2 linked regions of the Drosophila melanogaster genome follow. The protein of the gene in region 2 interacts with the protein of the main gene of each other region in a biochemical or structural test. Each region holds a gene or a part of one and is shown on either strand. Other genes may lie near its edges.

Evidence for each region.
Region 1: of the proteins of ems (region 2) and Hipk, one has a biochemical effect on the other in vitro, tested with the Drosophila melanogaster proteins (one study listed by BioGRID).

What each region holds. Positions count from the first base shown.
Region 1 is NT_037436.4:544,282-548,032, forward strand, and holds the start of Hipk (homeodomain interacting protein kinase), read left to right. Parts: upstream 1-1,777; 5' UTR 1,778-1,917; intron 1,918-3,200; 5' UTR 3,201-3,497; coding exon 3,498-3,751.
Region 2 is NT_033777.3:13,900,171-13,903,921, forward strand, and holds the start of ems (empty spiracles), read left to right. Parts: upstream 1-1,682; 5' UTR 1,683-2,008; coding exon 2,009-3,143; intron 3,144-3,433; coding exon 3,434-3,751. UniProt on the Drosophila melanogaster protein: Acts as a homeotic selector gene controlling antennal and mandibular segment identity.

The DNA.
Region 1 (3,751 bases), on a different chromosome or scaffold from region 2:
TAATCAGCGTTTGTCGATTCATCAAAGAAACCGCCGCCGGTTGCTCTCTCCACTCTCTCTCTCTCTTTTCCTCCATTCAAGGATACCGAAAGAGAGAGATCGAGAGAGTGCCCCCTCTCCTTCACACTTCCCTCATGGGTTTCCTATGTAAATCATTTAAAGGGAAATTGTTGCACAACTTTAACGAGTTGATTGGAGGGGGAGGGGTGAGGCTTACTGCTTGTGGGTTTTCCCGGCGCAACCCTCATTCCCCCAACCCACTCGCCCACTTTGGCAGCTGTCAATTAGAGCTTACAGGGAGAAAAAATGAAAACCCGAAGCTTCCATATGTTAGCTGTCCCTCCCACAGGTCTCCGCCCCCAACAGCTGTTGGAAAATGAGATTAGGAGGTGGGGGGTAAGTGGGGACCCAGCTTTATTGGCCTGTAATTGATGCCCAGGCTGCCAACCATATTGCTGATTGAATTGTGGCGTTGTCGCTGCAGAAAAGAAGAAGGGTGTGGATGCACAGTCCAGAGGACTGACTGCTGACGTCGCCACCGAAAGCAGAACCCGTTCAAGCTGCAGTTAAGCAAGTCTTCTGCGGGGAACCCCCGGGGACACAGACTTGTCGAACTCGCATCCTGCTGCGCTACATAAACCCCGAAAGTCCATGCCAGATTTAATGACAAAGGCCACCGCCCATTACAATGTTGCTTAACTACCATAATTATAAACAAAAATATAATATTATGTTTAAGGCTTACCTTCTCTTTACTTTTGTGCTTGGGGGAAATTGCAATTCTTTGAAGCGCTGGCTTATTTACATAAGAGTAATAGGGAATTCACCAGTTTAGTTACCTTTTGTTTGGTTGCGCTTTTCAAGTCTAGGTTTTCCTAAGAATTGTTCTCCATTCCTTATTTTCAGCATGCTGGAAACCATATGCTCTCTTTTGATCCTTTGGTGGAAAAGTACCCCCCGTACCTTTTCTTTGGCTCGGCTAAAAATGTGTTCAATCCACGCAGCCATTTCCATCTCGTTCTATATGTGTGTAATTAAGTCTGTCCACGACGCAAGTTTTCCTCAGCGCCTCTTTTTACCCGGCGGCTGCCCAACTAAACCACTTTGGCCCATTCGCACATCGCAACCCCCTCTCCTCGACCCACCTCAACAAAAAACAAAAAAAAAAAAAAACTATTTCACAAGGTGCCCCTTTGCCGGTTCTTGGCCTCCCTTTTGGCTTTCTCCGCCCCTTCCTTCTGCTTTCTGCTGCCGACGCAAATCCTTACGTGTCAAATGGAGCCCCTCACACTTTTGGATGGCGCCCGAACAGGGACATCCACGTAAGCAATCAAGCACTTAATCGGCTATCCGACGAAGGATTACCCCTTACTGGAATTATTCATACCGGATCATAAATTTGTACAGATAAGACCAGTTTAGAGACAGTACTATATAGTATAGTATAGTAAGTGAAAATCCCTAAACATTTACGTTAAGGTCGAAGCAGAGGATACCCAGGATATTATAGGGTAGCAAGGGAAGGAAAAACCAAAACAACAACCACAGAGAAAGTAAGCAAAAATAATTTCGCGATTCGTCCCCCGGGCAGAGCCCTAAAAGTCGCAATTTGAGGGGTGGAGCCCTTCTCTGGAGCGGCAGGAAGTGGGTAGTGGAAGAGCGGAGACCGGGCTTGCGCAGGCGCCTGGAAGAATCCGAAGCCGAGAAGAGCGGCGAGTGTCCGCTCTCTTTTTTCGGCTCTGTGGCAACAAAGTTTCGGTGCCTCAATTCTTCGATTCAGAGTCTCCACAAACGGCTTCGCGAGCGGACGTTGCAGCCACAGAAGATACAGCCACGGCCGTCGAGGAAGTGGCAGCTACAGAAAGCCAAGATATATATCTGCATATACATATGACTGGCGAAGCTGCTGCGAAAAAGGTGCAAAACAAATTAAGATGCATAAATAAACACCGGACTCGCTGGCAGGTGTTTGTGAACTCTGCTTGTGTGTGTGTGAGTGTGTGTGCGAGTGCGGTGCTGTGCGGTGAAATATTACGAAAGAAAACCTTTTATGTTTTGCAATTTTCCCGCAAACAAATCAACGAGCATAAATATTAATTTTGGCTACACCCAAAATGAGATGATGGACAATAACAGCGGCAAGAAGAAGCGCTTTCAGAAACTTGTTTTAGCCCGGTTTCGGATTTCTCCGTCTTCCTCTTCTCTTCTCGGCGACGTAGTTAACTAAGAGCCGTCGTATTAGACGTTAGTTAGAGAGTGCGTGTAAATTGTCGAAGGGATATTGTGTTTCCCAAAGCCCCATCTGAAATATGTATTCTCACTGTTCATCTCTGTAATGAAAGCTGTGAATTTATCAAGTTACTAATCGGTATTGTGCGGATAATGGCCATCAAAACCTTTTGAGCTACGTTTTTCGATTTTACATTAGGCAAGGGTATCCGTAGGATCCATTTACTCGCCAGCTGCAGAACGAAAATCCATTCAGCAAAACTGTCTCTCCCTTTTCCACTCGCTGAGCAATCCATTTAATAACTTTGGAACCGGCTTGTGTTTGCTTTAATTTGTTGTTGTTTTTTGTGGATTTGTTTTTTGGGTTTGGCAACGAAAGTTGCCAATTAGGTTTAATTTTAGGGGGCTTCGTAGAATTTTCAGCAAAGTGCGTAGAAAAGGGTTTCGTGGTGTGTATCCGTGTGGGCCAAAAGTGCGCTAGTGTGCGTGTTGTTTGTGTGCGGGGCCAAGTGCGTATCTCCCAAATGTTTTTATTGTTGTTTGCTTTTTTCGTTCTTTTGTGGTTTTCATTTTTCGACACCCGAAATGTGTTTGTCTTGTTTTTATAGTTTGCTCTCTTTCACGCCGCTTTTTGCGTAGTTTAAAAGTGGAATCAAGTAAAAAACAAAACAATTACAGTAGAGCCTAGATGAGGAAGTTCTGCGTGCAAGAAACATAAAGTTACCAAGTTGCTGTACAAGCCTTTCCAAGGCATTACAAAATTACTTAAAGCAAAATAAAGTTATTTAGTTCACTAGTTAGTCTCCACTGTCAATATTTGGACAACACATTTGAATGGAAAGTTTCAAAAGCGAATTAAAATATAAACGTATGAATGCCGGGCAGGTGTGCGAGTGTGGTGATATGATATTTTTGGTACGTGATTTTATTCGACCATGCTAATGGCTATTGTGTTCTCCCTCTACTTGCAGATTCTCTTTTAATTTGGCATAAATTGTATTTGTCTTGAAAAAAGCATATTCTTGTAAATATATCCTCTTCGTAAAATATTTTACTTAAAAGCCTTAAAATATTGAATTCACGTGAAATTTCAAACGGTGTCACTCGAAATTCGCCAGTGACTCGCCGCCACGTTTTGTACAAACATAGTTTGTAAACATAAGTTTGTAAGCGGCCGGAAAAAGGCGAACGGAACCCAAAAACCCCAATGCAAGCCAACTGAGTGCAAGGGAGACAGCCGACCACGTCGAGCGGGATAGCATGCGCCAATGAAAACGTCCTACCCCCCAAAAGCGTCCGATTTCGTTGACTACGCCGTTGCCGGGGGCGGGGGATCCGGATTCTGTTCGGGATTAGGAGCGGGACTTTCAGTCAGGGCGACGTCCTTCTACGGCGATCAAACGGTAACGGCAACTACGGACGGGACGCGTCACCAGGAACAACAACAACAACAACTGCAGCAGCAGCAACAGCAGCATATCCTAAGGCAACCTGCAACATCCGCATCGACTTCATCGGTAGC
Region 2 (3,751 bases):
TCTTTCAACTCAATTATGCTTGATTCGTCGAAATGTTGGCCGTCTGATTGCAAGGATTCTTCTAACCACAATTGATTAAATAGATATCAGAGTATTACTTCTAAATATTTATTTAATTTAATATTTTTGATATTTATATTTAATATTTATCATTTCGACCAATACTTTTTTTACTTATAATGAAGCTTTCACAAAATCAAAACTAAAGCTCAGATGCCGAGTTTCAAATCGAATTAGCTACACACACGTTTTGCAGATTAGACCGCAAATGAAACCGACTCAGCTAAAAATCGCTGAACTTTCGACAGCATTTCGCCTTGTAATCAAAATCCATTAGTCAACATAATTACGCTTTAATGGACTCGAAAGTTGTTTATGCCTTGCGTCGATTCGAACCGAAAGCTATGGGTAAATATGCGTGGCTTAATTAGCGGCCATAAAAATTTGATAGATTTTAATCTATCGCACAAGCTGTTGTTGTGCTCTCGCCGATTCCTAGCCCATTAATCTCAGAAATCCGGCGACGAATTTGACGGCTCCGGCTGATAACAGAGTGTGAAAATAGCACTACCGAATATTATTCCATTGTTTTTGAAAAACTCTTGGGGTTTGATAGGAAATGTTATAGTGTTGACCGAGGAAACGAAGTGAGACATTTGGCACGTCCCGACAATTGATGAACCTGCTCTGATTTTGATTTGGAACTGCGATTCGGACACTACATAAATTATGCAAACTTTGTCGTGTGCCAAAAAAAAAATGTAATGCCTGAAAATTAACATTTAAATCGTAGCGAAAAATAAACCCGGTAGCACATTTCATAAAACTGTCCCGATCAAGTTTCGTAGATGATTTATGGAAACAGCAAGTTTGAAGTGCATCCGTGGTGTGGAATTGCTAATGTGGACTGGATTGTCAGCTGTACGAAAACCGGGACGTTTTAAAATAGGGAAAGTTAATATATAATATCATAAATTAAATAAGTATTTTAAATTATAAATTTTACGCCATGTTGTTGAATGGGGTTTACGAACTTTAAAAACACCATTAACAAAATACTTATATTCCTTAATCTTTAGTTTTATGCAGAAATATATAAAGAGCGTCTAACAAATCCTTGCTAAACTATAAATTTGCACAACAAAAATCCCCCTGAGCAAGGGAAATATTTAAAACGCACATCCTCTGTAAGCCTCGAAAACCCTTTTCGAACTTCCTGCAAATTTGGCCAGAGTCCGCAAACAGAGACATTTTGCCCACCTGGCATTAGATTTCCATTTAGCGCTCGTTCCGGCCCAGAAATGCAACCGCAAAAACAAGAACTATGAATGGCAGTTTAAGCCAAATTACACAAAGGCCAAGAGCAACAACAAAGTCGTATAGTGGTGGCTGTTTGAACGGAAGCCATATGCAGAAAATTCGGTAAAGGCAGCGCACCGAACTGGACCCGCCCCTCGAAAAGCAGCCATTTCACTCGCTCCTTCGCAGCTAGGCCATATCTGCAGGGTAGATAAAATCCACAAGGCGCGCGCAAAGAAGACGGCCATACTACACCGAGCACAGTGCCTCCCGCTCTGGCCCGATAAACTGGTTTGGCCTGTACTGGCGAAGAGAGAAGACTCGCCGCAGCTCAGCTCTCTTCGAGTAGCGCACACTTGGTGGTGTTGCCGGGCTTACCGGATTTATTCAGACATCGAACGTCGTCGAGAGCACACGTCTATATTCTCCGTCTTCCGACACAAAAAATAAGAAAAACGAGCGCGTCGATCGCCGTAGAGCACAAGTCTTGACAACCCGAGTGTGTGTGTGATTAATAAAGTAACTAAACGTATATATGAAAGCGTTTCCAATGCGTCGCTTAGTGTGAGAAAATCAACGAAACATAGAGAGTTACAAATAAGGACTTCCCAGAGGATTAGACAAACAGAACAGATTAGATTAAACAGAAAACCGTGCTTAAACCCTCGAAAAAAAAGCCGCCAACATAGCCGAACTAACCGCCGTATTTATGACTAAGATGATTCCGCCGGTTCCCACCGCCGCTGCAGCCGTCATGATGCCCACACCAAAGCAGAAGATCGGTTTCAGCATCGAGTCCATTGTGGGCAATGATGTCAGCACCGCCGGCGGCAATTCGACGCCCGATCTATCCGGTCCCCAGAGTCCGCCGCCCGGCGAGCGCAATGTGCCCGGTTCGCCGCCCCAAACGCCACCAGCCACACTCACCTTGATCCCAGGCTCGCCCCCGCACCATCTGATGGCTCCTCCTGCCCACGGACTGCCCTATCCGCATCCGCATGCTCAGCAGCAGCATTTGCAGGCACCACATCCGCATCCGCATCTATCGCCTGCGCAGCAACATGTGCTCCACCAGCACCTCCTCATGCAGCAGCAACATCCGGGCACACCCAAGAGCCACCAGGACATTCAGGAGCTGCTGCAGAGGCTGCACCACAATGCCGCCATGGCCAGCGGCCTGAGTCCGCTGCAGACACGCCTCTCCCCCGAAACGGAGCAGCCCCAGATGGCCGTCTCCCTCAAGCGGGAACGCTCACCTGCACCACCTGCCATGGAGCAGGCCGAGAATCCCGCCCAGCGCATCCAGCCACCGCACACGCCTCCCAAATCCGTGAGCCCCCAGTCCTCGCAGCCCTCGTCTTCGCCCACTCTGCTGATCAGCAGTCCACATGCCACACCGCCACAGCAGCAACAGCAGCAGCCGCCCCCGAATTATCCAAAGCCCGCCATGATGCATCCCGGAGGAGCTGGACCCATGATGATGCCGGGCATGCCGCCCGCTGGACTCGTTCGCCCCTTTCCCATGGGACCCGGAGGACCACCGATGCCGCAGGGTCAGCCCGGCTTGCCGGACATCAAGGCGCTGCCGCCCTACATCAACGCTCCGCCGGAGCTGCCGCCTCAGCACAATCCGCATCTCATTGCCGCTGCCCAGTTCCAGATGGCCGCCGCCCTGCAAGCGGGTCATGTGCTTGGTCCAGCGGCCGCCGCCGCTGCTGCCGCCGGCCTGCCGCCCCATGCCGCCCAGTTTATGCCCAATCCAGGCATGGCCAGGGATAGCTATCAGCTGTACCCCTGGCTGCTCAGCCGCCATGGAAGGATCTTCCCACACCGATTCCCTGGAAGTAAGTATCTTTTGGAATGATTCTTTATATGCGAAACAAAAAAAGGAGATTTAGGGAAAAAAATAGTTCTTGGAGTCCAAATTGAAGCCAAAAAATGAGAAATTTCTTTAAAGTAATAATTCTAAACCTTCATAAATGTAATAAGAAATGAAAGATGCTAATATGTTTTAAATTAGTTTTGATGAGTCTCTTATAATTGCATTATATTGTCATTGCTAATTTATTGCTGTGAGTTATGATCTTAAATACCGATGACTAACCGAAACCCTTTCTTCTTTGCCTCTTTCAAGGTTTCCTGGTGCCCCCGTTCCGCAAACCGAAACGCATCCGCACCGCCTTCTCGCCGTCGCAGCTGCTGAAGCTGGAGCACGCCTTTGAGAGCAACCAGTACGTAGTGGGGGCAGAGAGAAAGGCCCTGGCCCAAAACCTCAATCTGTCCGAGACGCAGGTGAAGGTGTGGTTCCAGAACCGACGCACCAAGCACAAGCGGATGCAGCAGGAGGATGAGAAGGGCGGCGAGGGAGGATCGCAGCGGAATATGCACAACGGCAGCGGCGACGAGGACGACGACGAACTGATCGACATGGAGATGGACGAGTGTCCCAGCG